2 linked regions of the Arabidopsis thaliana genome follow. The protein of the gene in region 1 interacts with the protein of each later gene in a pairwise test. Each region holds a gene or a part of one and is shown on either strand. Other genes may lie near its edges. The genes, in order: AT5G47435 and PRR1.

Region 1 (15,986 bases):
TCACTGTAAATTCGCTGGTCTCATAGATTAAGAATAAAGTAGTTACGAAATCGAATTCCACTACAAAAATTAAAAAAGAATTCGATGACAAAAGAACTCTCTCTCTTTGTTCGTTACAGCAAAACAAGAAGATTCTCATTCTCTGTTTTTGATTATACAAAAAAAAAAAAAAACATGTTTGAAAATCCATGTCAAGCTCGAGATCTCTCCCCCTTTCCACGTTTTGAGTATCGGAGTTTATCTTCACTCACATCACTAACCACCACCGGTGGTGATCGCGCGTACCTTGACGGCTTCCTCTTGAAATGCCTATCTTCATCACTAGATTCATAATCTGCTACTTCTATTTCCTTCCGACTACTGTGTCGGTGAACTGATGTTCCCACGGCGGCTGCGGCAGAGGCGGAAGCAGATGGATCCGTAACAGAAGTAGAAGAAGAGGAAGGCACCTTTCTTCGTTTACCAGAAGATGTTTCTTCCTCCGGAAAACTTATCCGAGCGAATACGCTAGACTTAAGATTATTCTCGATCTCTGCTTTAGTAGCAGGGACTGGTGGCTCCGATGAAGGCGGTTCCGATCTCTTGCGGTGGTGATGTTGGCTGCGTTCGGTTTCACCACGGTGGTGGCGATGATCTCGGCTTCTGTCTTCATCGCGACGGTCGCGAGTACGGTCGTGTTCACGATCTACGTCTTGGTGACGTGACCTCTCACGGTCGCGTTGCCGATCTCGTTCATCAGGATAACGCTCGGATTTTCTCTTGGAGTCGCGAGACGGGGAAATGTTTTTACGCGTAGGCGGATGCTCTGGGGATAGTCTCTTCTCCGGTCGTCTCCGGCGATCGTAATCGTGGATTGGTGGTGGAGGTGCTTGTCTCTGTAAAACAATTGTTAGCCCAAATTATTATAATAAAATATGTATTGAATTCGGCCCACAAATAAAAAGGAAATGGGCTCAATAGCCCAGTTACCGTCGTCACCTTTCGGTTCCTACGCCTACTATTTTGCATTTTAGGCTTTTTAGCCATCTACCCTTCTATTTCTTTTCCTTTTTATTCACAGCCCTTAGTTTCTGATAAACCCCAATTTTATATTTCAGAAAATTACGTTAGAAACCAATATATTTTCCCCTAGTTTTCTTCAAGTTTTTTTTTTTTTTTTTTTGGGTTTTCAAAATAAGCAAAATGAGGGAATCAGGGAAGAGAATTTGGAGCCATTTTCTGATATAATAATAACATATAACCAAAAGTAAATGGGAGAGAGCGAAGCACAGGTGAACAAAGAAAAGAAGAAAGAGAGAGCGAGAGGGGAAGATGAGTCAAACAAAAGGAGACATACAGATTTATTAGGGTTGATGGATGATGCAGAGGCTGAAGTACCGTTGTTCATCATCATTCTGCTATTCTCTCCATCCCTAAACATCTTCCCACTGTATATACAACCAAACAACAACCAATGTTTAGGTTTTAGCATATCCTTGTTTGAATCTGTAGTAAAAATAGAGTGAGTGTTTTCTTTTTACCCTTCAGGTCGTCTCTCGTTTTCACGTTTTCTTAACATCTCAGCGTTTCGGGCTTCGGCTTCATCTCTGCCCATCATAGCACGTTGGAGATTCATTCGGTTTCCCATTTCAGCTAGGTCCCTGCGCATGCACAGAAAGTTCCATCATGAGACTTGTTGAGAAAGCTTTATTGCTCTTCTTTGATAGAGTGAGTGTTTTACCTATGGGGTGGTGGTATATTAGGGAACCCAAATCCTTGTGCCATGAATGGATCTGGATGCATCATATTCATACCCCCACCAAATCCCATGTCCATTGGGTTTAATCCGTAACCCATAAATGGAGGCATTGCGCCTGGAAACGGGCCTCCAAATCCATTGAAGCCAGGGTGAAAGCCATTGAAGCCAGGTTGAACACCGTTGAAGCCTGGTTGTACGCCATTGAAGCCAGGTTGCATGCCGTTGAAGTACTGCGGACCTGGTCCCATTTGCATCATATAGTCAGGGCCTGCTAGATCTGGCACAGGATTCCATTGCATGTCTGCAATAAATCACATAAACAAACCATCTTTTAGACCTCCCATTCGATTCACATAGACTTCGAAACTGACAATGTATTGCCTTCAGCGTAGCAAAGAAAGCTTTTACCATTCCCAGGCACTCTTGGTTTCTTTTTCTTCTTTTTTCCTGTATAGAGACAATAAGTACGTATTACATTGATGAATGACAACAAGGGTTCCTCAGTAATTGAAAAAAAAAAGGTTCATGTGAGGTCCAGCTTGATTAATCTCAGTAGGGAAATCTGAACTGGACTATCAGTCACCAATCATTCGCAATGTCCAGTGAAGCTAATATTAGTACATCTTTATTTTACCTGGCTCTCCAGCAGCAACCTGCTGCTGCATTTCTTCCTTGGGGGCTTGCGTATTCAACTTTGACACTGTTGCTTCTTTCACAATCACGGACCCTTGAGTGCTTTCACATGCATCAACTGGCTTTTCTACATTCACTTCTGCAGATGCACGAGGGGCACTTGTGATCTCTGCAACTTCCATTGGCGCCTTTAAAGTTGAAGCATCATTATTGTTACTAAGTACTGGTTTCTTCTCGCCTTTAGATGCAACAGATGTAGTAGGAGATAGAGCCTTGGGAGGTGGACAGCGTGCAGACTCCAAATCTATATTGTCCATGATAATTCAGTAGTGAGGACTAATCAAACAAAGTTTAAAAACACATGAATTTAAAATAATGACGGACCTGGGATATGGCCAACGCTGCCCACATTCTCAGTGCTATCGTTTCCAGCTTCCAAAATACGGTTTATGGTATCCCTGAGGGTCTTGTTTGGTAGAAGGTCGTCAGCAAGTACATCTGATCTTCCACAAACACACATTGACTTTGAAATAATGTGATCTCTGATACCTGAATCAGTGAAAAAGGATAATAATGTAGAACTGGAACTGACAACGGTCAGAAAAGGTTTTTGTGGAACAGCAGAATGCATTAAAAGAACTTACACTTGTCACAGAAGCTCTTGTAACAACATTTGCTTGTAAGCGCAGCATCTTTCATCACTTCTTTGCATAATGGGCATTTTAGCTCAGGTGGAAGTTCTCCTACAGAACGTGTTGTTGATGGCAATCCCTCCATTTCCTTCTCAAAAGCATCCCTGAATTTGTTGAAGACACAACAAACATTTAAACTATAATCAATATATGTGAAGAAGTACCCAATAGCAACATTCCCAAACTAATTCAGTACAACTTACTCATTTGGTTTCAGAACTGCAACTGCGCCACTTGGCAAGGAATAAGAACCATCTGGGGTCGCCATCAACATGGACTTGGGGATACCAGTAGGTGGCTTAACTCTCTTAACATCATAGTTAGGGTCTCCATTTGTGGGGCAATGCTGAATAAAATGTCCTGAGACAGCAAAGAAAATGCTCTCAACACTTCTTATCTATTATATATCCATCTACAAAAGTGAGAGAAAAATAAAGATTTTCAGAGCTGACATACCAGGGATATTGCAACGATGGCACACATAACCTGGAGGTGGCGTTTTCCTTTCCATTCCTATCCAGCCAGCAAAACCAAACTAAGTATCTTACAACTTGAGCAAATAGAACAAAAATATAAAATATTTTGACAGAAGTAAATGTTTTGTATACTGTATTTTGACATTCCAGAATTCAACCAAAATCAAAGAATAAAAGTAAGTATAAGTTACCAAAACCACGTCCATTCATCCTTCCAGGCATACCCCTCCCATAACCTCTACCAGCTCCAAAAGTATCTTGACCTTGTCTGTTACATTGAATAAATATAAGAGGTCTGTTAAACCTTCTCACAAAATCCAACAGTTTCACCTGCACCATTTCTGGAAGATTGCTTACCGTTGTTGCCAGTCAAGTGCTGGAGTGTCAATCAGCGCCTGAATTTTGCTTTCTTCATCTACTTTGTCGTCTGCGGTTGCAAGATGAGGACGTGGAATAATATGCTGGGCATCTTGGGTATCAGGAATGGAATAAAGATCAGTCCCAAACTCGTCATACTCATCTTCAGGCTAAGAGGTGAATACGGATGACATTAGTACTTTTGTAGTAGAAGAAAATTAGGTGCAGTCAATGCCAACAGAAGCCGAGAAAAGTTCACTATAATCAACTTACAAATTCAGCAGCAGATGGATCAGCAACAGGAAAATTGGTGGTTTCAGCCTGAACGTCTTCCACTTTATTCTGGATTCTAGGCCTGCAAAGTTAAGATATTTGCATCATTGAGGATCCCGAAGTTTCTTAAATCCGATAGTCAGACAATTAACTTATGTTTAGCTAAAACGATGCACCAGTAAAATGCAATGCTTTTAATATCATGTCTATTTAAGTTTAATAGCTAAATAAGTAGACAAAGAATATAGAAACTAAAGATCTGAGAAAGTACTCTTGTGTGGTAATAACTGTGATGCGAGGACGTCCAGGAACCCGACGAATAAGGACAGATGTATTCTTTGGGATTAACATTGCTTCATCCAGATACTCTGAAAATTCAAAACAGAGAACATATAAAGGCCACAGATTGCAATCATATTGGCACGAGACACAGTACACTAAAGCTTCCTGAGAAATTCAAGAATCATATTCCAACAAACCATTTCCTAATAGTTCACAAAAGTAAAAAAAAAATAAGACAAAGCTCAGCTAGTAAACAATCATAACATAAAATAAAGTTCATTGTATCACAGCTGCAAGCAAACAGTCTAATAATACGAAAAGCGCAGCACAACATTTGACATAGAAGACAAACCTTCGTTAGTTTGGGCATTGGAGACGACAATATCAAGGTCTTTACCAGTGCCCAAATGCTTAGTTTCGAAAATTTTGTCTTTGAGAATACCGACGGATATAAAAGGACCATCCATGGCAATGGTATCATAATCCCTTGCACTCTTAAACTTGTAATAAATTGCCATTGAAAATTTGTATCTGATATAAAAAGCAAAAAAATACATATATCTATTACTTATCTTATAAAGATCATGACACAAAGCTACTAGATTTTGAAAACCCTAATCAAGGCCTCCGGATTATTAAAAAAAAAAAACGAGGCCAGAGATTTGATTTCCAAAACAAAAAGGTAAATACAAACTAAGAAAACCCTAAAGATTCAATTTTTACTTCGCTGATTCGACTTCACAGAAGGAAACTCCACGCGTGTAGCAAAATCAATCCAAATCAACGAATCCTGGAAAAGTTCCTGCAGATTCAAGGAACGAGAACGTCCGTGTGATCGCCGAGCTGAGAATGGCGCCGGTGATGTCTCCAAATCTCCTTCTCCGAGGAATCTTCGCAGCTACAAAACGACAACTTGTAACAAAGAAACGGATGATCGGGCTTCACTCCATAAGATCCGGTAGCTCCAAGCTCCGATTTGGGGGATCAAAATCGAGAAACCTTTCGGGGGGAAATTGAAAAGGATCTAGAGAGTAATCATAGGAATCGAGTAGAGAGCGGTGTCTTCACGAGAAAGAAGATAGATCGATCTTGAAATCTAGGGTTTGGACACAAGAGCTCTCTTTCTCTCGTATCCGTGTTTATGTAAATCCCGTAAGAGAATTTTCCTTTAAATAATGAATTAAAATCTTATCTTATGGGCCCACTTATAAAGTAAGAATATGGACAGAACCACGGTTTTGTTTTTATTTATTTTCCTTCTTAAAAGTTAAAACACATTAAATTACCTAACTTTTGTTAATTTGAAAACGTAAAAAGTTGATTTTAGTATATTAATAATATTTTATTTGTGTAATAAATAGTTTTGACTTTTAATAAGCTAAAATCATACAGTAAAATCAATTTTTGTGAAAATATGTAAATTTGGTGGTACTTTATGCTATCAATTTTAACAAAACCCATTTCTTATTGGGCCCATTTTGATTTTGATTTGTTTATTAAATGCCCATTTTGATATTTTCACCCGAGTGAAAAATCCAGATTTTTTATTGCTCAATATTTACGGGACGACAAAAAAAAAAAGATTAAAAAAATGGAAGAGTGGAGCGCGATCCTTTGGGGAATCGGGACGGACCGTGATTGGTCGGTCTCTCTCGTTACGGTGAGGCTGAGGCTGAGGCGGAGATTGAGAGAGACCAACCATGATACGACGAATCACCGAGAGAGCTTCTGGTTTCGCTAAGAATATTCCGATTCTCAAATCGTCTCGATTTCACGGCGAGTCCCTCGATTCCTCCGTCTCCCCTGTTCTCATTCCCGGCGTCCATGTCTTCCATTGTCAGGATGCTGTTGGGATTGTAGCTAAACTATCAGATTGCATAGCAGCAAAAGGTGGCAACATTCTTGGCTACGATGTTTTTGTTCCTGAAAACAACAACGTCTTCTACTCTCGCAGGTCTCCATTTTTACTCCAAAATCTTCCCTTTTTTAGTAACTTTCTCGTTCAATAGACTTTAAGAAGTGTACGAAGCTTTGATAATGAATCGAGTGAAATATTATGTATTGGTTTTATTTCTGATGTTTCCTTTTGACAGCGAGTTTATCTTTGATCCGGTTAAATGGCCGAGAAGCCAAGTGGATGAAGATTTTCAAACTATTGCACAAAGATACGGTGCCTTGAATTCAGTTGTGCGTGTGCCTTCTATTGATCCTAAGTATAAGATAGCTCTTCTTCTTTCAAAACAGGTATTCACAATACCTTTTTGGATTTTCGATACTCTTTGTATTTCCTGCTCAAAAGTATGTGCTTCTATTATATACAGGATCATTGTCTTGTCGAAATGTTGCATAAATGGCAGGACGGGAAACTCCCTGTGGATATTACCTGTGTGATAAGGTGAGCTAATAGTTCTTTGGATCTGTATATTATGTAAGCATTTATATGTCTAGTGACTCGGATGCTGAAATGTTTTTTTTTGGTTAATAGCAATCATGAAAGAGCTTCAAACACTCACGTTATGCGGTTTCTTGAGAGGCATGGCATCCCTTATCATTATGTATCTACAACTAAAGAGAATAAAAGAGAAGATGATATTTTGGAATTGGTTAAGGACACTGATTTCCTAGTTCTTGCTAGATATATGCAGGTAGATGAAATCACATTTTTAGTCTTTGCATGAGCTCTTTTTTCTTTCTTTGGTCAAATTCTGACTTACATGTTCAGATGAATATTATTGCGTACTATTTAAGCTTCTTCTTCTATTTCCAACTAAGAATAGCAAAATTTAATTCATAGCATTTTCCCTTTGGCAGATTTTATCGGGTAACTTTTTGAAAGGTTATGGAAAGGATGTAATCAACATCCACCATGGTCTCTTACCATCATTTAAGGGTGGATATCCCGCAAAACAGGTCACTGAGTTTTGTCATGGCTCTACCTTCTCTTAGTTGGTTATATTGTTGTCTGTTTTTTTCTTGCCTCTTAATGTTCTAGATTCTGTTTACAGGCATTCGACGCTGGTGTGAAACTAATTGGAGCCACTAGTCACTTTGTTACCGAGGAACTTGATTCAGGGCCAATTATTGAACAAATGGTGATTCATCTTCCAAGTAGTTGATATGTAATGTAGTACCTTCTGGGGATTGTCAATTTTCTTCTGCAGCTTTCTCAATTTATCTGTTTGAATGGAACTTTTCACAGGTTGAGAGTGTTTCCCACCGAGACAACTTAAGGAGCTTTGTCCAGAAATCCGAGGACCTAGAGAAAAAATGCCTCACGAGAGCTATAAAATCTTACTGCGAACTAAGGGTATTACCTTATGGTACAAACAAGACTGTTGTATTCTAGTTAAGAAAGCAATAACTACGATTCTCATCTGATTCTTTGTTTGAACATCTCAAGAAAAGGTGATACGAATTTCTATAAGATTGTTGATTCATTTGCAGTATTTACAGCAGAAAAAACTGTGAATAGTAAATATTTACAGGATTCTCTATCGCATGCGATTGCTGAGACTCAGAGATTCCAGAGAGCATTTGGCAGCCTCGAGGCAACTTACTAAGCGGAGATTAGACTGAATCCCAGCAACCCATCTCTGCTTCTGAATCTTGCTCTTGCACTTGAACTCTAAAAGACCCTGTCCTGTTTTCAGACCAAAATAGACTTCTTCGGAATTTTCCCTCTCTTTCCTGCAAGGCCATGCAGATATCTCGTCGCAGACTCCATAAACAACACCTTTGAAAGCAACAACAAGCTTCAGACTTCCGTGTTTCAAGTAATTTCCCTAACTCTTGAAAGAATAAAAAAATGCTTACATTTGATCTTCTTGGAGAATGCCCCTCCAACATGTTTGCTTTTGAGTTTGATCATGACCTGAGAAATTCATAGAGGTTAAGTAACTAAGTATAGAGAAGCAAATAGATATGTGTCTCTTACAGATTAAATCCAGTCTACTCAAGTACCTGAGACTTCTTGTTGATATAGACACAAACTCGCTTATTTCGCTGCAATCCTGCTAATAAATTAGAATTATAAGCATCTTAATTAGTGGAACCAGTCTTGAATAGAGTTTGAGAAGAATAGGATTACCATTTCGTGCACATTGCACCAGTTCGCCCTCTAAAGGAAGGTTTGGTTCCTCCAATCTAAACTGACAATTTTCGCCGGGCCAGTGAGAGTCTGAGAAGCTCCTTTCACAAGGTGTGATAGTTGCATTCTTCCTTGATTCCTTCGGCTGCCTCACCTTTAAAGCTGCTTCCCCTCTCAATGCTGGTTCATTTTTTCCACAGACTCAGATCAAATACCATCTTACTAACCCAACCAAAGCCTCAAACACCAACTTTTAAACAATAGCCTTACCAGTTGCAGCCGCAGCTGTGAGAGTCATGAGATCGCCAGGGCTGTGGATATCAACGGAAGACCTGACCGTGGAAGCAACACAGGTGTGATCAGCGCCTGCTTGCTCAGCCATGTCAATGCAGTGTGAAGCCAGTAGCTCTGTTGCTGAGGCTAGAGCCAGTGCCATCATGGAGCATGACTCTTTGCTGCAGCTTTCCTCAGAAGTCACAGATGCTAACCCAGCTGCCAGAGCTGCAATGGACACAGCTGAGTGAACATGGGCTTTCTGTACACGCGCTTTATCTTTCTTCCTCGGAATCCTCATGGTGCTTGGGTTGGTGTGTTGTTTGTGGTGAAACCACTTTGATAATCTCCCTGATCTACGGGTTCCAGCTGAGTTCATGATATTCTCTGCCTGCAAATACCAAGGAATCATCAAAATCAGAATTCAAAAACTGGTGAATATGTCCACACAAGTGGAAGGTAATCATACCATGAGTGGATCTGCAGCAACATCTTGGAAGAAGCCTCTAGGACTGTTCTGGGAAACAGAAAACAGATCTCGCTGTTGTCTCTGTTTCTGCGCCAAAGCTTTGGAGATTTCAGAAGCAGATAGACTCCATGATCTGGATAGAAACTTCATTGGCTCCCTTGGTGTCTGAGGCTGAGGTATCTGAGAGACAATCTCTTCACTTCTTACATTTCCTTCCTCCAACTCGTGCTCCGGATTCTCTGATCCGAATAACGACGAGGAACTATCATTCCAATCGGAATAAAACCCACCTTCCATTTCCTTCTTAGTTTACAGAAAACCCAAGATGACGAAAGAACTTTTTGAGATGAAAGAGGTTAATAATGTTGTTGACTCAAGATTGTGAAAGAGAAGAAGACGAGGACAACAAAGCAGATCACCAATAAGCAAACACTACCTCTTTCTTTAATACTAGCTTGGAATTGTTCAAATATCAAATCAGAAAATGATGCTAAGTAAATAAACGAAGTTTCCATGTTCTGATATTAGTAAAGAGAAAGAAAGGAAGAGACAGAGAGAACACAAATCGATGTAATTGTGCTTTGAGCAGACTCAATAGATTCAGGAAATGTCTCATCAAATGGGTACAAATGTAGATTAGAGAAATCATGGAAGTCTCGTAATATGAATAATTAAGATAAGATGGTAGGATACTGTGGGGACATATGCATTGGTTTGAGAGCCATAAGCTGCTCTTTTGTCTTGTCTTTTTTTGAGTTCGAGAAGATTTGACCTGACAACTTTAACGGAGTTCGTGACTCTACCGACCAGTTTCTGTTATAATTGTAGTCACACGTAACAACAACGCTTTTGGTTTCTCTATAAAGATACTCCCACGAGTTCAAAAGTGTTAAAGACAATTCGAATAACTCTCGGCTATTGGTTTGTTTTTCTTTGTATATTACCATTATTATTCCTTCCATATCTATGGATAATTACGTAATCAATACTCCATATTTGGTTCCACAAAAGCAATACAAAACGGAAATATTTCTACAGATTAGTTTATCGATTCAATATAAACTAACATACGATATAATTTTAGTTTCCGATTTTGCTTCCGTTTTTGTTGATGCCACCGTTCGGGCCAATAGGAGAATGATCCCCTTTCGCCGTAACGGCCATCAACAATGTTGTTGTAATTGCCATAGGTGAGTTTTCTGTAAAATTGCTTCGAGGTGACAATGGTTGTCGTTTGGTCGCCAAGGCAACCGTAGATAGAGAGATTGATGAACAAATGTTGCAAATGAACCATTATTCGTTGAAAATGATGATCGCATACTGTGGCGAAGCAATTCGTTCAACAAGAATGTTTTGCAAATTGATTATGTTTTGGCCAAATTGATTAATAAATTATAGTAAGTAATAGAACTAGAGAGAATCAAAGAATCGAACGAAGAAGAAGAACTTTCTGTTATTCATCTTAAGAAAGTTTGTTACATTGAGACTCTCTTTATGTACTAGAGAGACCCGGTTCATACCGGTTCATACCGGTTTACACTTAACCGAACCATACAATTTCATCAATTATATAGTCTATTATCCTCCCTCAAGATGAGCCGTATATGGAGAGAAGACTCATCTTGCCAATGAGAGAATGCCGTATAGTACTAAAGTAAGCAATCACATCCTGTATCTGACTTTTCGACATGTTTCCCACTAATTCAGCAATTCCATCAGGACCAATGCCTTTTCCCAATGTCATCTTCCCATCAGTCAAAGCAAGATTAGCAACAACCGGTTTTGACTTCTCAGGTGGTGTACTACCTTCTGCTTATGTTTGAAACCAATAGGATAGCCATGGATTTTGTAACAAGTGTCAGCAGTGTGACCAGTGTATCCACAATGTGAACACTGAACTTTTGGTTTTGAATTTGGTTGAAAAGAACGAGTAGCATTGACAGCAATCTGATCATTCGACAAAATGGAGACATTAAAGGCAGAAGCATTCGTTGGATTAGTAACAATGTTGCGCTGACTGTGATCTTGATCCAGAAGATTGTAAATCTCAGCAAGGTCTGGTATTGTCTTTTTCATGATTATCTGACTCCGAATGGTTGAGTAAAAATCATTCAAACCTGCAAGAAACTTAACAATCTTGGAATGCTCATTTACAGAAGCAGTAGCAGAACAACATTTGCAGTTTCGACAAGTGTTAACACAACTAGCTCCATCCAAATCATCCCAAAGAGTCTTCAAAGTAGTATAGTAATCAGATAAACTCATATTGCCTTGTTGTAAACTCCAAATCTGCTGTGTCAACTGATAAGATCTTGGTAAGTTTGTGATATGAAATCGAGTATCCAAGTCTTTCCAAATTTCCGCAGCATCATTGAATCGAAGAATACTCTTGTAAATTTGCTTTGTAACAGAATTCAAGATCCAAGACTTGACCATACTATTGCATCGTGACCAAACTCTAAAGCTCGGATCAAACTCAGGAGGTCTTGGTAAAGTTCCATCAACAAAAGCGATCTTATTCTTAGCATCTAACGCAACAAACATCGCTATTTTCCAAGAAGAAAAGTTAGATCCATCAAGTACCTCAGAAACAATTGTAGTACCCGGATTATCACCATTAGACAATGCATAAGGTGAATAATGAGCATCCGCGAAATCGAACTGTGGAAATGGATAAACTGATGATCTCGTAGCAAAATTTTGTTGAATCGGAGACGAAATTGGTGGAACCGGTGGAATCGGTGAAGATTGAGTACGATCTGGAGTCTTCTCAGCTGAGATCTTGCTTGATTTCCTCGTGCGACGCCGTAACTTTTCAACGGAAACCATCGCGAAATCTGAGCTTGATTTAACTGATTTATGAAGAAACAATCGAAAAACAGAAGATCGACGAGCTCAGATGAACAAGAACTCGAAGATGTGAAGAGAGTTAGGTGTTGAATCGGCTGAGAACTTCGAATTCCAGCGCTCTGATACCATAATAGAACTAGAGAGAATCAAAGAATCGAACGAAGAAGAAGAAGTTTCTGTTATTCATCTTAAGAAAGTTTGTTACATTGAGACTCTCTTTATATACTAGAGAGACCCGGTTCATACCGGTTTATACTTAACCGAACCATACAATTTCATCAATTATATAGTCTATTAGTAACTTCTCATGAATCTCAAATCAATAAAATTTGACTTGCTCATATCATTCGGCAAATTTTCACATCTTTGATGTAAAATTGGTGTGGAAACTGGAATCCATTTGTATTTGGGATTTAGATATTTCAATGGACCATTCACAATCACAAATCACAAGAACAACAAAAATCTAAGAGAAGATAAGTAGTTTGAATCCGATCGTTAAGTACGTTTTAATTATGTCGATAACTTTATGAAAGTAAAATGCCATAGAATACAAAAACATATGAAAGAAACCAAACATGCTATACGTTAAAAAAAAGGAGATGAAGTGAAATGTATATACATTTTCTTATTAACAGGACATAACTTTTTTTCTTTTCTCTACATACAATCTTGCAAGAAAGTGGACACCAAACATACACACGCAAACAAAACATCAACCAACCATCAAGCAATCACAAAACCCAGTCAATTACACTCGGATCTCACGGGTTTCTACCGCTTCATAAGAACCGATGAACACATCACCGTAGATAAGTCCCGCGAGTGCACCACCCACAAGTGGTCCCACCCAATAGATCCAGATTTGGGACAAGTCACCACTGACAACAGCTGGTCCGAACGACCTTGCTGGATTCATGGAGCCACCACTGAATGGACCAGCAGCGAGGATGTTGGCACCAACTATGAAGCCGATGGCGATTGGAGCGATGGTCCCTAGCGATCCTTTCTTTGGATCAGCTGCTGTGGCGTAAACGGTGTAGACCAATGCAAAGGTCACAACGATCTCCATGACGACACCTTCGACCGCTCCTAGACCGGCTGAGACCCCGTGGGTCGGTACGCTCTGCAGCAAACCGGGAAACAACTCATTAGTCAATTATTTTATACCCTTAAACCGTTTAGTTTTTGAAACGTTATAATATTTTTGTCATCATATATATATTAATATACTAACGTACCTATGACGGTACGAACATATAAACCAAACCTAACAAAAGTACAAAACCTATGTATTTTTTAATTTTCTAACTAAATTTACTAGTACGTACCTTGCCATTAGTAACAAAGACGAGGAGAAGACAAGCGACGATGGAGCCAAGACACTGAGCAATCCAATAGAAGAAACCTGTGATGAGTGTTATGTTTCCGCCGATGGCAAGGCCAAGAGTCACGGCTGGGTTAAGGTGACCACCAGAAATGTTAGCCGCAATGGAAACTCCAACGAAAAGAGCAAACGCGTGAGCAATTGCAATTGCTACAAGACCAGCTGGGTCCAAGGCTCCATCAGAGGTTAGTTTGGCAAACGCAACAGCAGAGCCAACGCCTGCGAATACGAAGAGAAGAGTTGCGATGAACTCAGACAAGTAAGCTTTAAGAGATGATACACTGAATGAGTCTCCCACACTTCCAACTTCGATCTTCACCATTTTTTGCTTTGGTTTTGTTACTTCTTTCTATTTTCTGTTATTTGGGCTTTGTATGGGCTCTTTGTATATATATAGTGAAGAGAGCAATTGACAAAAGGTGGGGTTGATATTACGTGGGAGATCATTATTGGATGCCGCCCAAACCGCCTCTTATTTGATTAATGGAAGGTTAGCAATATTAAAGATGTGTAGTGACAACTATAGTGGGATTTAATAACATGTAAGGATAAGAATCTTCTGTTGGCATTTTGATATCCCGCATTTTTAAATTAATGTTTGTGTCACACCAATAATGATAATGGCCTTATTATGTTTACTAGTCTTTGTTATTTTCAATTTCGTATTGGATTAGAGAAGTAGGAAGGTGCTAAAGTATTAGTGGGGATTATAAGTTAAATACAATTTCTTTGTTTCTTTTTTTTTTTCCTGTGCGGAGTTGGTTGATTGGAAATATTTTAAGGAAAGCCAATTTTTAACTAGATGAGATTATGACTTTTCACAAAACTAACATTATATCGAATATAGATTTAGTGTAATTCAAGTTTTTTTTTTTTTTTCATTTATAGATCTAGTGTTTGAATCCAAATGCTACTCCGAGGTCTTCTACTGATTTGATAAGAAACTTTGTCCGCCTAGGGTCGGTAACCCTTCACTCCCCGCATTACCATTCAGCCAGCTCAAAAGACATCAATCAAGAGAATTACTTACGTTTAGTTGATAATCCTGGAAAGGTAATACGATCCCAATTTCTTATTTTGTTATCAGCTCACACCTTGCTAACATTTACACATGATCAGGTAATGCTTGAATTCACGTCCGTTTTTGCAAGTCATAATGACCAGTTTGCGAATTCTCGCTCTAAGTAAATTGATTTCGTGCTCAAATGTAATATTTTGATTTTACTTTATTCAAAAATAAAATAAAATAATATCTCGGTTTCAAGAATATGATAATGCATGCAGAAAGATTTGAAAAAATTGCTTTGGTCATCCTATAGTGCTCCTCTAGCAGCGGCTGCTCCTGGATTCCCTCGGGAAGCTTCATCCGTCGTGAGTTTCACCCACGGACCCGTCCACCCTATCATTCTTGTCCCTCGTGAAGGTTTGTGGGTGTTATTCTTCGTTATCAAGCGAGTTTAGATGGCGTAACTTTTTCGTTAATGGGCCTAAAGCCCATAATGATCTGAAAGATTGCTAAACCCAAAAAAGAAGAAAAACCAGATATTTATTTTCCGGCTTCCTCATCATCTTTCCTCCGTCCGTTCTAAAACCCTATAAAAACTCTGTGGAAGAAGAAGATCGATCTCACTTTTTCCGGCTTCATTTTCTAGCTCTTACAATGGCTTCTAGATTCATGAGCAGATCCTCTGTCTCGTCTTTCAAATCCGCCATTAGATCTTCATTTCGAAATTCTCCCATTGGCACTGGATCTTCTCCGGCTGCTGCTTCATCCGCCGGATTTCGTATTCCGTCTAAACCAGCTGCTTCTCCTCTTCCCCGATTCTCCTTCTCCAGGTCTGCTTCATATGTTTAGTGTTTAATTCCATGTATCTGCTTCACTTTGGCCATTTCTTTGATCTCATTTTGATGAATTTGTGTGATTACATTATAGGTGTCCGTCGGAGCTTGGTTGTGTTCAGTCTCTGTTACCGCTACACAGCACGGTGGCGGCTGCGCGGTTGACGTCATGCTTAAGCACAACTTCCAGAAGCAGCCGAGCTCTCACTCAGGGTACTCTCTGCTGCACCTCTCCCGACCTCTAATTCTCTTTTCTGCTTTCTTTCTTGTGAGTCGCTTTATTTTGCTTTCCTTCTTTGAGTCTTTATAATTTGCAATTCTATGTTGCACAAGTCTTTTATGGTTTGCACTCGTTTTTGTTAGTTAGACTTAGAAAACTGAACCATTTCCCAAGTGTTTTGCATGTGAGGACACTATATTGATGTAAGGATAAATTATTCGATTGATTATATGAAGTCTTGAAAGCTCTATGTTTGATTTGTGACTTTGCTTCTTCCTGCTTTATGTTAATTTCTTGCTTGCCGAATCAGGTTTAATGTTTGACTCATAACAAGTAGGATGATTGGCCCTAGTGAAACTAATATAGGCTGAGGAATTAGTTTTCAGAGTTGTGAAAGAGTTTTGAGCTTC
Region 2 (15,464 bases), on another chromosome or scaffold:
AACATTCCATCAGCAATGGGACGGATATAATCTTTCCAGGCCAATTCCGGCGTCTCAATTCTAGCTGGAACTACGCCGGGAACATCCTGATCATAACCAAACTGCAATGCCACACGGTGAGGATAATAAGGTTCAATGCAATCCAAACCAACCAGTTTAGCAAACCTCAAACACCGACCAAAGGCTACAATGTTCTCATCAGGTCTTACTCGAACCCAACAGTCATCTTCAAAGTAAAACTTTGGGAATCTGAAGTTATTCACAGGTTTTGTATATGGACGATAGTCGAAACTCTCTTTAGCCGAGTCCAACACCGCTCTGATATTCTCAGGATAGCCATACACATCCTGACCACCACCATAATGATGCCACCGCGCTATCCGCGGTTCACCAGTCTTTAACTGACTCGGCTGGCCAGGTGGCTGCAACGCCATGAATCTCTCCAGAGCCCAAACCTGCACAAACTGAAACGGAGACTTCACCACCACTGTCTCTTTCTCACTATAACCAGTAAGAAACTCCTTCAAAACCCCAAGATCCCCGTAAATCCTAGCTAAAACCGCCGGAGCAAGAGCCAACCTAACACCCTTAGCAAGCTGAACCGCAGCCGGAAACAGCTTCTCTCTCAACACGTCACCCGAATTAGTGAAGACGAAACGCGAAAGCCACGAAACCATAAACGCCTCATGCTCAATCTCATTCCCTGAATTCATCATCTCTTTCATCCACATACTAACACAACATTTCTTCTCCAAACTCACCTCAATATAACGTTTCGCCTCCTTCATCTTCTCCTCCACCTCCTTCATACCATCTCGTTTAACCGGAGCCAAAGCATTGTTCCCAGTAACAGACAATCCTCCAAGAACAATCATATCCTCCAACGTCAACGTCGCTTCACCCCAAGGAAACACAAATGTATTCGTCTCAATACACCATTTCTCCACCAACGCCACAATCAAATCATCATGCCTCTTAATCTGATACCTAGACGCCAAAATCGCATCGTAAACACCAGATTTCTTCCACACCGTGGCGTGTGACTTAGCCATTACATTAACCCACTCAATCCAGTTCAACGACGGAGTTCCCCACCCTGGAAACGAGATCTTCGCCGTTGGATCAAACCCTTCCGGTGGTCTACACACAAACGCATCGAGAGGAAGGTCAAAGACATCGTCGTCGATAGATGCCGTTGTGTAGTTTAAGAACCTCGCCGTTCGTAAAGATTCAAACTTTTCACCGTCGGGACACATTAAAGCTTCCCTGACTTGAACAATTTGTTCATCTTCTTGATCAGAAGATCCTCGAGACTCCTCCATTATTAGGTCGGAGAACCAAAAACACAAATTTTAGGGTTTTGGGTCAATTTCTGGCTAAAGTTTAGAAATTTACAATGGGGAAAGAAAGGAGAAGCAGTTGAGAGACAAAATCTTGACTCCGGCGCGTTTGTTGCCGGAGATCCCGACAGAATTTTCCCGCTTAACGGGGAAGAAGAAGGAAACAAAAAATGTTTTTTAAAAAGAAACAAAATTTAAAATCTATTTAGAGATATGATAATAATCTAACGGTGGTGGAGCTTTGCTTTTACGTCAGAAGTATACTTCAATTGGAAAATTTTATCCTGTTCCTGTTTTTTGGAACTTTTTTTGGTAAATACAGAAATCTCATTCTAGAAATTATTTTTGTTACAGCTATGAGCTTTACATAAAAAGTATTTTCCAGATAGTATAAGCAGCATAACCAATTTTTATGTAGAATTAACAAAGTGAGAAGAGAGAGGAATTCTAAAAGTTATTAGGAAAAAAACACGTGATTTATATTCTTCAAACTAATTAGATTTTTCTTTTTGTTCAGAAATTAGGATTTTAAAAATTACAAAATACCTTATATATTATTTAAGCTTCTTAATAAAAAAAAATAGTCAAGATTTTGTTTTCATGAAAACTCGGATTTACTAAAAAAAGACGAAGAAATAGATTTCTTATTTCATTCCAATCGATTTAAACGCAAGAGAAAGAATTCATACCACATTCAGGTATCTCGGTTGAAATACTCGTAAATGGTATTTGTGTTTTTAGATTATTAATTTTAGTAATCTCATTTATGAAGTGTTTATTCTCGTTTTCAAGAAATTCTGAATCCAAAATATGAAACAAACCTCGGAAGGAGTTTCCATGTAATCTACGTTTTTCTTTTCACTTAAAAATAAATTATAGATTTAGTTTTACAAAATTGGCAGTTAACGAAACAATTGCAGAAACTAAGCCGACAAACAACATAATAACTAAGAGTCTAAAGTCCAAGAATATGGGAAGCCTACAAACACAACTTCTAATGCATAACAAATCCGAATTCAAGGAAGGGCAAAACATAAACTAACTGAAACATGGAAGATCAAAATCTATAAACAGAATCTAGAACAAGAGACTTTGTAATCTACGTTTTAATACCAACTAAGAAAAAGTTTATCATTAATTAAAAATGTTAATACTAATTAATTAAATGGTAGATAACGGCTACTAGAAAGAGAATTAAAATTCTCTAAAGATTAAGTTTATTAAAGATCCACATAATACAGCCCATTAAAGGCCCAGTCAGTTTTGGGGATCTAGTGCTTTGAAATGTGAGAAAAAATTTTACATTATTATTGGGTATAGTGATGTAATTCATTAAATTAGATTCATTAAACTAGGGGCACATAGATGCAGTCATGCAGAATGTTCCAATACATAAACTATTAATGTTTTATAAGTTAAAAAGTCATAAGATTTGGCTTTTGACATTTGAGTTACATTGTTAATTCAAAAAGTGCATGCTTTCGAGAAGATCAAAAACTTTTTTCTTATTTTTTATTTTATCTACCACTGACTTGGTCAAATTTTTAGCCTTTGTGAAAGAATTTTATTTTTGCATGAATTTAAACCGGTTGATTTAAAACAAATACATTACTTTTGCTAAAGATGGTTCAAGGCGTCCAACAAATACACTGACATAGCAAATTTTGAAATAATCAACTAAAAAATTATTCAACAAATTCAACTGCCTAATCCGGTGGAAACATGCATTAATGGATATAGTATTAAACATCTTTCATTACTTAGAGAAATTTTCAAGGTCAAAACATATACAAAGATATATAAAAATGTTATAATAAGATTTTTTGTTTTAAAGATCAAAGTAGAGTAATATGATATTTGTAACCAAGGGCGTTTTTACTTTTTATCATGTATAAGGGCATCTCCAAGGCTAAACACCATTTTGGTGTTCAAATTACACTATTTTTAGCACTAAAACTTATGTTCTCTCCAACCATAACACCAAAAATCACACTAAAAGAATAATCTACTATTATATTATTTATTTAAAAGATTTCTTTTATTATTTAATAGTTTTGATTAATATTTATTATTAGTATAGAAATACATAACATTATAAAAATAGTACATTGAAATATATATTTAAAAATACATAAATTTTTAACTATTTTAAGTATTTTCATACATAATAATATAAAAATATCATAATTAAATCAACAATTTCAAAAGATATAATATATTAATGTATACATTCATTTTTATATTTTATATTTATTAATCATTTGTAATTTTATATCTGTTAATTGAATTTTTATTGATATAATAAGTGAATAGTGTTTAGAGTTGTGAATAGTATCACACCAAATTTGATGTAACACTGTAGCATTACACTAAAATGGTGTGAATTTTAGAGTTCCATTGGAGAGCTTTTAGTGCAAAAATTACACTAAAATGGTGTTTTAGAGTTTCATTGGAGTTGGCCTAAGTGATTTCAGTTTTAAAAACAAATGGTGTATATAAATAGGGGTTTTGAAAAAAATATATAGATATTAATTAGAGTCTATGATTTTAAAAAAATATAACATACATAAAAATGGACCTATAACTTTTTTGAAAATTATTATATCTCATAGATATACTTTATATAGATGGACCAACATATAGTTTGAGACAACCATGGTTTTAGTCTCATTCCTAATTTCTCCAATTACTCCATTCAAGTGTAGGTGTGAATCAAACATCCAACAAATCTCTAGCGGTACCTTGAATATTGGACGAAACACTGAAACTGTAACCAATTTTATAAGGACAGAACACAAATTCAACTACTTTTTAATTATTACAAGAATGATTTCTTTTTTTTTAAGGATAGAACACAAATCTTCACACGTGGCATCTTCCACAACCAATCACGGTGCTCTCACCAACCCCATAATTAATTTCTCTTATCTATTTGTCATAATTGTTTTTGTTTTCTCCCACAATTATCTTCTAATTCTTTAGTCCACAGCCCCGCTTCGAGAAAAAGGCACGTAATCCTTTGTTTCTCATTCACATTTTCATTTGATTCTAAAATAATATTGGCCATTATTATACATTAACTTTCACCAGAAATTCGTATCTATTTTTGTGTTGATTTAATCGGAATTTGTAATTTAGTAGTCTGCATTCATATTATGTGGAGAACACTCTCTCGAGCAGTCAAGATTTTGTGACGAACCTTATAGAGTTGGTCAAGAATATGCATTTCCCTATCGATTGACCAGCTTTTTAATATTTTTAAGACAATTTTTGTCTACTTCGAAATCTTTCGTATAAATTTTAAAATGAATATTTTGGTATCTAGCATCAGGTTTGTTGATGTTGTATTCTAATCCAGTTTGAGAAACCAATCATCCTTACATATTTTAATTTAGTTTGTGAGGTTGACACAAAAACAAAATCTATAGAAAACTGCATGACGTAGGGTTAATTTGTTCATTGTCTTCAATCTTTTTTCCTGTTGTTTATGATAAAATTAATAACGTTTGATAGTTGATGTTTAAATGTTACAAAATTATTACCCTTCAAAAGATATCATAATTTTTGTGTTTTTAATTTCAGAAAATCATTATGTTTTATACAATTTGATGTTGTAGTTTTCTTTTTGTTCCACTTTGTATCTATATTATTATTATATTTGTTTGTTACTAATAGAAAGAGGAGAAAAGTACAATTAATATTATTAAATTAATAAAAAAATAATTAAAAAATAAAATAAAAAGTTACTTTACTTAATTTATGTGAAAAGAGGAGTAAACGCAAACAAAGAGAGAAGCTCTGTTTTCATATGGCGTTTGATCATTTATTTTTATTTTTTAAAAAATGTCGAGATTAGGTGAACTACTAGTCTACTAATAAGGATTATTATTCCATTGCAAAGAATCTAAAAAGCTCAGATGACATTTGTAAGTCATCACAATAAGGTTGAATAGCTCAGAAGAGTGCGGCGTGTGGGTCATAACGCCACCACTTAAACAATTATTTACTTCGGAGCATTTAGAGATTTACAAAATACACCTATTTGTAGATTTTTAATCTATATTACACATATTGTACCAAATTTTATGTGAATATGATGGCCGAAAAAGAAAGAAAAAATTGTGGCCGATTAGGGGATTCTTTGTGACCATTGAAAAATTGACTATATACACATAGAATTTCAAACAAATGATGTCATGTTTGTAAATGAATACATGCGTAAGCTTTTTAACTGGTATAGAATATAGATTAATTATATATGGAGATAAAAATCTGCTCATGTTACATGTTTTCAAACTCCAATTGAAGAGTTGGCGAATTGTTTTTTCTAAAGTCAATAGTTATGTCAGAAATAGTTAATTTTTGTCAAAGTATACTAAAACGGCCAAATTAATCTCTATTCTCTAATTAAAGTGTTAGCGAAAGATCCCACCAAAACATGTCACCACGAGTTAGAACAATAATCGCTTTCAGAAAGGTCTAGTGGAGTCATCAGGTGTCGTGAGACACATTAGTAAACGAACACGTTAGTCAAATTATTAAGAGACTATGGTTCCACACTGGTAAAGACCCAAGAACTGACTAATCTGTTTTCATATAGACATCTCTATTTTTGTGTTACAATCCAATTATGTACTATTTTCGGAATTAAGATATTATTTACTAATCGTGGATTACCTAATATAAATTCTTTAAAATAATCAAAGAGTATATTTTGTCATAAGTATTCATTGAAAAAGGATATGGTGAGAAAAGTATTAATAGAAAATACGTATTTTCTTTCATAGGCATCATATCAAATGTCGATATCTTTACTTATAATGCATACAATTATCGGTTAGGTGTACACATATATATGTAAATGTATATGTTTCGATTCATTATATATATACACAATCAAGAGAGGCTCTTTCAACCAAAACATTGATCTATAGAGAGAGAGAGAGAACAAAAAATGGGAGAGAGCAAACGCACCGAGAAAACGCGCGTTTTGGTGGTTGGAGCGACTGGATACATAGGGAAGAGGATAGTAAGGGCGTGTTTGGCTGAAGGTCACGAGACTTACGTTTTGCAGAGGCCAGAGATTGGTCTCGAAATCGAGAAAGTCCAACTCTTTCTTTCTTTCAAGAAACTCGGCGCACGTATCGTTGAAGGTTCTTTCTCCGACCATCAAAGCCTCGTATCCGCCGTGAAACTTGTTGACGTCGTTGTCTCCGCCATGTCCGGTGTTCACTTCCGTAGCCATAACATTCTAGTCCAGCTCAAGCTCGTCGAAGCTATCAAAGAGGCTGGTAACGTAAAGGTATAATAAACTATAAATTAAAGTTTAATTATGATTGATCGGTTTAGAAAATTGTGCGGTTAATCTGAAAAAAATCTTATAAGTAAAGAAACCACACGAAAATAAAATTAAAAAAGCCGGAGAGTTTATTTTTGTTTTACTATTTACATTTCATTTATAAGAAAAAAAACGTCAACGGTAAAAGATCCATATTGCATGCATACAAAGAAACTTGATACTCTTGTTGATTATTATTACTTTTTGTTTCTTGTTGTAATTATAATGATATACGTAAGATTAATAATTTCAGCGGTTTTTACCATCTGAATTTGGTATGGATCCACCACGTATGGGACATGCGCTACCGCCCGGAAGAGAAACCTTTGACCAGAAAATGGAAGTGCGTCAGGCGATAGAGGCTGCCGGAATTCCTTACACTTACGTTGTGGGTGCTTGCTTTGCCGCCTACTTCGCCGGAAACTTGTCTCAGATGGTAACTTTACTTCCTCCGAAAGAAAAAGTTAATATTTATGGTGATGGAAATGTAAAAGGTAAAATTTTCAAACTCTTTTTTAACTCTTTGTGGTTATATACCTTTTAAGACTTTAAATTAGATCAAGCCCATCTAAACCAATCAATTTAAACCGTTTTATATTTGTAGTGGTGTTTGCGGATGAAGATGATATCGCAAAATACACCGCGAAAACGTTAAACGATCCACGGACATTAAACAAAACCGTGAATATTAGACCTCCCGACAACGTTCTCACGCAGTTGGAATTAGTTCAGATCTGGGAAAAGCTAACCGGAAAAGAATTGGAGAAAACAAATATTGCTGCACAAGACTTCCTCGCCAACATTGAACGTAAGTCCAAGCAATAGTGTAACGTAATCTACTTTATGTTCGGCAACATATCCTTAATGGGCCAGGCTTTAGGTCTATTTGAAAAATATAGCCCATCAACTTTATTTGATTTCTTTTACATGTATGTAGAAATGGAGATTCCACACCAAGCAGGGATAGGACATTTCTATCACATTTTCTATGAAGGATGTCTCACTGATCACGAAGTCGGAGAAGACGAAGAAGCTTCTAGTCTTTATCCTGACGTCAAGTACAAACGCATGGATGATTACTTAAGAATGTTCCTCTGATTTGACCAAGTCTTATCTATACTAAATACACATATCAAAAGTTTGATGTTTTATATTCATTCATGTTCTGCTATATATGCAAATTTAAAAATATATTCTTCATGCAAGAAAAAATATTATCTTTGGTTTTTAACAACCAATAAAAAGAACAACAACAACACAAGGAGTAAGGCGTTGGTAACTCTACTGATTGAACCCTACCTCGTAACTTCTAGTATGGAAGAATACGGAGGTCCAAAGCTCGAGAGGTTTGATGAAATCTTGTATCTCGGTTCGTAACTAAGATCAGAACAAAAAACACACACAACAACAACAACAACAAAATATCCATGGAATTGCATCGATATGAAAGAAGACTACTAACAAATGAGAAAAAAAATCAGTAGGAAAGTAGAAATATGAAAGATCACAAGTTTTTGTTTCTTAAAGCAAAAAAACCATAAAACCCACTTGTAAGCCCAGTCTTTAATTTATATACCAGTGCTAAACTATGTGGTTGCAAGTTGGAATTGGAACTTTCTAAGTGTATGTGAATATGCATAAATTGAAACCAAACAATTAGTTGAGCTTGTGTACTAAATTATTGTAATCGCCGCCAAAAGATAAGTAATAATAAACTATTGCTCTCTTTTGTGGACAACAACGCACACGAGACTATACAAAATTTGATGGAATAAAAGACAGCGCATAAGACAAGATAAACAAAGGCTGATAATTGCATAATGTGCATATGGGACTTTTGGAGTGTCATCAATGAATCACGAGGACGGATGTTAGTATATTACAATTGTTTATTACAAACTCGAATAATTCCAATTTACCATCATTGACACATAAACATTATGAAATCAAATGGTTTGATAATGATCCTTGCATATATAATTATAAAAATCATCAACCCGAATTTGAGTTCGAATGAAAACAGATAATTTTACTATCCACTACTACGTCACATATTTTTTTTTAGTCGCGATTTCGTACAAACTAATCGGTGGTTAATTAAAACGTAAAAGTCAAATATTTTTGTTGTGGATAGAATGTAAACAATACTTTTTTAAGTCATAAGAAGGCAACACAAGCAATGTTAGCATAATGTTTATTGCCAACGAGTAGATAAACGTGGATGAGCGCATCAAGACATGTTACTAATCCCAAAACCTTAAGCAAAAGCGATATTAAAATTTATCAAGATCATAGACTCTGTACATAATATTTTTATTCCTGAAATGACTAAAAATTGTATGACTGATCAAACGTATAGAATTGTATAACGTTTGTTGACAAAAACTTGTTCGTCAAAATTTTCTTCTATATTTTAAATAAAGCTAAAACGAGTCCATATTTTATTCCCGCAAAGCTTTTTGATTTCCTCGACCAAAATAAATGCATGTCCTACCTAAAAACTATAAGTACATCTCCTAATACGAAGAATATAATTTTATCATGATTTGTCATTTGGTTATAATTTATCCATTATTTAGATTAGGTAACCGAAAACTTTGCCTTTATTTGAAAAGTTAATACAGAAACTCATAAAAGGCAAATACAAGATGCTTCTCCATATATCAAACCTTATTTAATTTCTAGTATACCAAAAGAAGTCAAAAGAAAACGAAATTTACTCCATCACTCGATGATTTCACGCGTGCTACTACTTTGATAGTTGGTCACTACAATAAGCAATGAGCATTTCTCAATTCTCATACTCTCTTTAGGAATATAATCGTAACAAAAAAACATCAAATGAATTATTCAAAATTTATTTCCCAAAAGAAAAAGATTTTGATATCTAACCAAATTTAAATCCGGCCCACACAACATGATACTTTGACACCAAATGTTGAGGGTTTCTCTTATCTCTTGGCTCTAAACCTAATTCCAACCCAAAAAAAAACATATGAAATAGTACAATACAAATATCAAGGGGTCTTAAAGATATTTCCAAAATATAAGTAAGAGGAAATGAAAATTAGCTGTATACAATATAATATATTGTCCATAATTTTTTTATATATATAATATGGTATTACCTTATGTCAATTAGTTATAATTATACATTACAATTGATAAACATGCAATGATTTGTGGGTTTTAGTTTAAATAATTTTCAAACATTATTATGTAACTTATGTTTAACTATTATGAATTTTTTTTATCTTTTCGGATGTCATCTATCTTAGTATTAGATCAAAATAATTTACCATAAAATCTGTAGAAAGATTTTTTAATTTTTTTGGTAAGGTGAAGAAAAAATCATTTGTTTATAGAAATGGATAATATTTTTATATAACAATTGGAAAAAAACCTCAAAAATAAAAATATTAGAAACTCCTAGAGTTTGGATACTTTCTTCATTCTCTTTCTTTCTCCTTTACGCCACTCTCCATCAAAACCCATCTCTCTTCTCTTTCTCTCTCGAGTTTATCAACAATGGCGACTCTACAAGACATAGGAGTCTCAGCTCTCATCAACCTCTTCGGTGCTTTCTTATTTCTTATAGCATTCGCTGTCTTAAGAATCCAACCCATCAACGACAGAGTTTACTTCCCCAAATGGTATCTCACCGGAGAAAGAAACAGTCCTCGGCGCTCCGACAGAACTCTCGTCGGAAAATTCGTAAACCTCAACTACAAGACTTACTTCACGTTCCTTAATTGGATGCCTCAAGCTATGAAAATGAGTGAATCAGAGATTATTCGTCATGCTGGTCTTGATTCTGCTATCTTCCTTAGGATTTACACTCTCGGGTAAGTATTTTATCTTCTTCTTCTCGGAATTTGGTTTTGTCTTACATAAAAAACGAAACTTTTTGAGAGTTTGAGTTGTTTGCTAGTAAAATCTGTTGAGAAGTCAATATCTCGAGAAAATGAAAGAACAAAAAAATCGAAACTTTTTCAATATTGATAGAAAAATGTTGATTATTACAGTTGCTCTTTATTTTTATTGTCCTACATAATTATTTCACTAAGATTTGATTAATGGTTCTCGAGAGAAAAATTGTTACTTTCGAGAAAATTTATGTTTTTTTGGTTCTTGTTCTTGTGGGTTTTTTGTGGGATTGATTGTAATCTCCAAGAACGAATTTTTACGAGTGACAAATTCCCGAATTTCACGGTTTTAAGAATCTTTACTCGTGAGAATGATTGTACTTTATTTTAACAATATAAAGAATGTACAGCTAAGTTTCAGATTTGTCTGCTCTGTATTCCACAAAGACAAAAGCAATAGAAGTTTCGTTTCTGTTCACTGTTTCGTGTTTGTTTCCTGAGAAAAAGTCACTCTTTAGATATCTTTCTTTTTTCCCCGGGAAAGTTACTGTAAAAATTTATGTGAGAATCTGAATAATTTGTTGGTTTGTTGGCAGCTTGAAGATCTTTGCACCAGTGATGGTATTAGCGCTTGTTGTTCTTGTTCCAGTAAATGTATCAAGTGGAACACTTTTCTTCTTGAAGAAGGAACTTGTGGTCAGCAATATCGATAAGCTCTCTATATCCAATGTTCAGCCCAAATCTTCAAAGTGAGCTTACTTGTGAACTAAAATTATGCTTTACTAATCAATGAGTTTTACTGGCTAAAGTTTAACATTTCTGTGTATGTGTGTGTGTGTGTTTAGGTTCTTCTTTCATATTGCAGTAGAGTACATTTTCACGTTCTGGGCATGTTTCATGCTCTACAGAGAATACAATAATGTCGCTATTATGCGTCTGCAGTATTTAGCTTCACAGCGTAGGCGTCCAGAACAGTTCACTGTGAGTGAAAAAGCCGCAAACTTCAAACATGGATAATTGTTGCATCTATGTTTATATATACTACTGTTTGTTTTTGCAGGTTGTTGTTAGAAACGTCCCTGACATGCCTGGTCACTCGGTTCCCGATACCGTTGATCAGTTCTTTAAGACGAATCACCCTGAGCATTACCTCTGTCATCAAGTAATTTTGTTTGTCCTTCATCACTTACTTTAGTTGTAGAATGCGTTAGTGTGTGATTGATGAATTCAACATTCTTGTTTCAGGCTGTTTATAATGCGAACACTTACGCAAAGCTGGTGAAGCAAAGAGCGAAGTTGCAACGTTGGTTTGACTATTATGTGCTGAAGCATCAACGTAATCCGCATAAGCAGCCTACTTGCAGAGTTAGTCTCTCCCACGCCATTTGTTTAGCTTTTTGAAATGAAACGATGTTGATTGTGATGGGCGGATTTTCTTTTTTCAGACAGGTTTTCTTGGTCTATGGGGTAAGAGGGTTGATTCCATTGAGTACTACAAGCAACAAATCAAGGAGTTTGACCACAATGTAAGCCATTCATTTGCTTTTTAAGTTACTGCTGAAACAGAAACTTAAACCTCGTTTCATCTTTGGTGATACAGATGTCTTTGGAGCGTCAAAAAGTTCTCAAGGACTCCAAGCTAATGCTTCCTGTTGCATTTGTGTCGTTTGATTCACGATGGGGTGCTGCTGTTTGTGCACAGACGCAGCAGAGCAAGAATCCGACATTATGGTTAACGAGTAGTGCTCCAGAGCCTCGTGATATCTATTGGCAAAACCTTGCTATACCTTTTATCTCTTTAACCATCCGGAAACTCGTAATTGGTGTCTCAGTCTTTGCCTTGGTCTTTTTCTACATGATTCCTATCGCCTTCGTGCAATCTCTTGCCAATTTAGAAGGTCTTGACAGAGTTGCACCTTTCCTCAGACCTGTTACTAGATTGTAAGTCTCTCCATCTATCTCGGTTTTTTGCTTCTTGGTATGTTAGACCATTGATCCCTCTCCTTGGTATTTATTGCAGGGATTTCATCAAGTCATTCTTACAGGGTTTCCTCCCCGGTCTTGCGCTGAAAATTTTCTTGTGGATTCTCCCTACGGTTCTGCTAATTATGTCGAAGATTGAGGGATACATCGCTTTATCAACCCTTGAGCGTAGAGCAGCAGCAAAGTACTATTACTTCATGTTAGTTAATGTGTTCTTGGGAAGTATCATTGCTGGAACCGCGTTTGAGCAGCTGCACTCTTTCCTTCACCAATCACCATCTCAGTAAACCACCTTTTACTTCTATTAACCGTCTAAAGATTCTAACTTTGAATTAAAACTCATATCTTAAATGCTCTTGTTTATTGTGTTTATGCAGGATTCCTCGAACCATTGGGGTCTCCATACCGATGAAAGCTACATTCTTTATCACATACATAATGGTTGACGGATGGGCTGGGATTGCAGGTGAGATTCTCCGGTTAAAGCCCCTCGTGATTTTCCACTTGAAGAACATGTTTATTGTGAAGACTGAAGAAGATAGAGTGAGAGCAATGGACCCTGGTTTTGTCGATTTCAAGGAGACTATCCCATCTCTCCAGCTCTACTTCCTCTTGGGAATTGTCTACACTGCTGTTACTCCCATTCTTCTTCCTTTCATTCTCATATTCTTTGCCTTTGCTTACTTGGTCTATCGCCATCAGGTTCGGTTTCATACCCAATCACCCGTCGTATCTAATTCTCCGCTAAATTTTGGGTTTTCTTGATGGTGCTTTCTTGGTTTACAATGCAGATAATCAATGTTTACAACCAACAATACGAGAGTTGTGGAGCGTTTTGGCCGCACGTTCATGGCCGGATAATCGCAAGCTTGTTGATATCTCAGCTTCTGCTAATGGGACTTTTGGCTTCTAAAAAGGCAGCTGACTCAACTCCATTGCTTATCATCTTACCCATTCTCACACTTTCTTTCCACAAGTATTGCAAACACCGCTTCGAACCTGCCTTTCGACAATACCCTCTTGAGGTAAATAAAGAATCTTTTGGGCTCTCTTCCTAAAAAAAAAAGGTTTAAAGCCTTCTTACAAAGACCCGTGTTTTTGGTCTTAACAGGAAGCAATGGCGAAAGACAAGTTAGAGAAGGAAACAGAACCGGAGTTGAACATGAAAGCAGATCTTGCAGATGCTTACTTGCACCCAATTTTCCATTCATTCGAGAAAGAAGTAGAATTATCATCATCATCATCATCAGAAAAAGAGACTCACCAAGAAGAGACACCAGAGGTAAGAGTGGACAAACATGAAACACAGTCGTCTAGTCCTGTGACAGAGCTCGGTACTTCTTCCCATCACCATCATGTCTACAATTCCACTTCCCCTTCTTCTCACTACGCTTCAGCTTATGAGCAGTCATCGTCTCAGTATGAATATCACTACAATACTCATCAGTACGAGGAGCATGAGTACCGTTACAATTGATCTCTAGACAGAAGAAAAATATGTAATCTCTTATGAGTGTCATAACTAAAGGTTTCTTTTGGTCTAGGTTTAGGTTATTTGTTAGCTGACTTTGGTTTCGGTTTTAAAGGTTAGGAAATTGGTGTTAGTGTCATTCACTTGTATGAAAATATATTCGAAGATTTAATTTATTGTCATCTTTCAAGCCTATTGTAATTGTAAAATTTGGTTTATTGGATATGATAAAAGTTACGTTAGAAAATACTCTAATAAAAAAGATGTATCAAAAACTATATTAATATTAAATTAAAGTAGACAAAAGACCTTTCTTAACGGAAAAACCTAACCCGGAAAAAGACAAAACTGGATCCTCTTGTCGATAGAACTTTCTCTCTTGTCCATACAAATATCGTAATCCAATTTCAATCACAAACATCATTAACGAAGATGGAGAAGACTATGATGTGCCGTCTCTTAGAATCACATCCACGTCGTCGTCTCCATACCCATGGCTACTCTTTTAGCCACTCCTATCTTCTCTCCTTTAGCTTCTTCTCCAGCAAGGAACCGTCTTTCTTGCTCTAAGATCCGTTTCGGTTCCAAAAATGGGAAAATTCTCAATTCTGATGGTGCCCAGAAGTTGAATCTCTCAAAATTCCGTAAACCCGATGGCCAAAGATTTCTACAAATGGGTTCTTCTAAAGAGATGAACTTTGAGAGAAAACTCTCAGTCCAAGCTATGGATGGTGCAGGAACAGGAAACACATCAACGATCTCTCGTAACGTAAGCTTCACGATGTTGTTTATTTACCATTTTATTGTAACAGCTTTTTAAAGTTTTGAATTTTTCGTTCAGGTAATTGCGATAAGTCACTTGTTGGTATCACTTGGGATCATTCTTGCTGCAGACTATTTCTTGAAGCAGGCGTTTGTAGCAGCGTCTATTAAGTTCCCAAGTGCTTTGTTTGGGATGTTCTGTATTTTCTCTGTTCTTATGATATTTGATTCGGTTGTTCCTGCTGCTGCAAATGGTTTGATGAATTTCTTCGAGCCTGCGTTTCTGTTTATCCAAAGATGGCTTCCTTTGTTCTATGTTCCTTCTCTTGTTGTTCTTCCTCTTTCTGTTAGAGATATTCCGGCTGCTTCAGGTGTCAAAATCTGCTACATTGTAGGTATGAACTTGATCTTCACTTGGTTAATGATCTTGTGTTCTCTGGTAGCTTTTATGGGTTTTTTGTCTAATTGCTCTGTTTTGTTTATTATTTAATGCTGATCTGATGTCAATGTTGATTTGAATGTTTGTTTGTATAGCCGGTGGATGGTTGGCGTCACTTTGTGTAGCAGGGTACACAGCTATTGCAGTGAGAAAAATGGTGAAAACCGAAATGACGGAAGCCGAGCCTATGGCAAAACCATCACCATTTTCAACACTTGAGCTATGGAGTTGGAGTGGAATCTTTGTTGTGTCGTTTGTTGGTGCT

The links.
Region 2: the proteins of AT5G47435 (region 1) and PRR1 interact in a two-hybrid assay, tested with the Arabidopsis thaliana proteins (one large-scale study listed by BioGRID).

The regions. Positions count from the first base shown.
Region 1 is NC_003076.8:19,235,628-19,251,613, forward strand, and holds AT5G47435 (formyltetrahydrofolate deformylase), read left to right. Parts: upstream 1-6,044; 5' UTR 6,045-6,151; coding exon 6,152-6,405; intron 6,406-6,544; coding exon 6,545-6,695; intron 6,696-6,772; coding exon 6,773-6,846; intron 6,847-6,936; coding exon 6,937-7,096; intron 7,097-7,262; coding exon 7,263-7,361; intron 7,362-7,456; coding exon 7,457-7,543; intron 7,544-7,650; coding exon 7,651-7,797; 3' UTR 7,798-7,856; exon of another isoform or gene 7,857-7,936; 3' UTR 7,937-7,942; coding exon of another isoform or gene 7,943-8,184; 3' UTR 8,185-8,264; coding exon of another isoform or gene 8,265-8,322; 3' UTR 8,323-8,361; downstream 8,362-15,986. Other genes in the region: AT5G47430 (DWNN domain, a CCHC-type zinc finger), read right to left, coding at 192-875, 1,337-1,427, 1,521-1,640, 1,721-2,039, 2,147-2,185, 2,373-2,675, 2,756-2,920, 3,016-3,167 and 7 more; AT5G47440 (auxin canalization protein (DUF828)), read right to left, coding at 7,943-8,184, 8,265-8,322, 8,412-8,461, 8,539-8,718, 8,809-9,202, 9,281-9,577; TIP2;3 (tonoplast intrinsic protein 2;3), read right to left, coding at 12,882-13,256, 13,462-13,839; AT5G47455 (uncharacterized protein), read left to right, coding at 15,178-15,353, 15,451-15,569. UniProt on the Arabidopsis thaliana protein: Deformylase involved in photorespiration. Prevents excessive accumulation of 5-formyl tetrahydrofolate (THF), a potent inhibitor of the Gly decarboxylase/Ser hydroxymethyltransferase complex.
Region 2 is NC_003070.9:11,538,784-11,554,247, reverse strand, and holds PRR1 (pinoresinol reductase 1), read left to right. Parts: upstream 1-6,231; 5' UTR 6,232-6,294; coding exon 6,295-6,642; intron 6,643-6,931; coding exon 6,932-7,172; intron 7,173-7,282; coding exon 7,283-7,486; intron 7,487-7,615; coding exon 7,616-7,776; 3' UTR 7,777-8,088; downstream 8,089-15,464. Other genes in the region: AT1G32120 (serine/threonine-protein phosphatase 7 long form-like protein), read right to left, coding at 1-1,322; AT1G32090 (early-responsive to dehydration stress protein (ERD4)), read left to right, coding at 10,207-10,523, 11,141-11,293, 11,390-11,525, 11,605-11,706, 11,790-11,909, 11,990-12,070, 12,145-12,485, 12,565-12,810 and 3 more; LrgB (uncharacterized protein), read left to right, coding at 14,492-14,767, 14,840-15,155, 15,295-15,464. UniProt on the Arabidopsis thaliana protein: Reductase involved in lignan biosynthesis. Involved in secondary cell wall biosynthesis in fiber cells. Unlike conventional pinoresinol reductases that can reduce both pinoresinol and lariciresinol, PRR1 shows a strict substrate preference toward pinoresinol.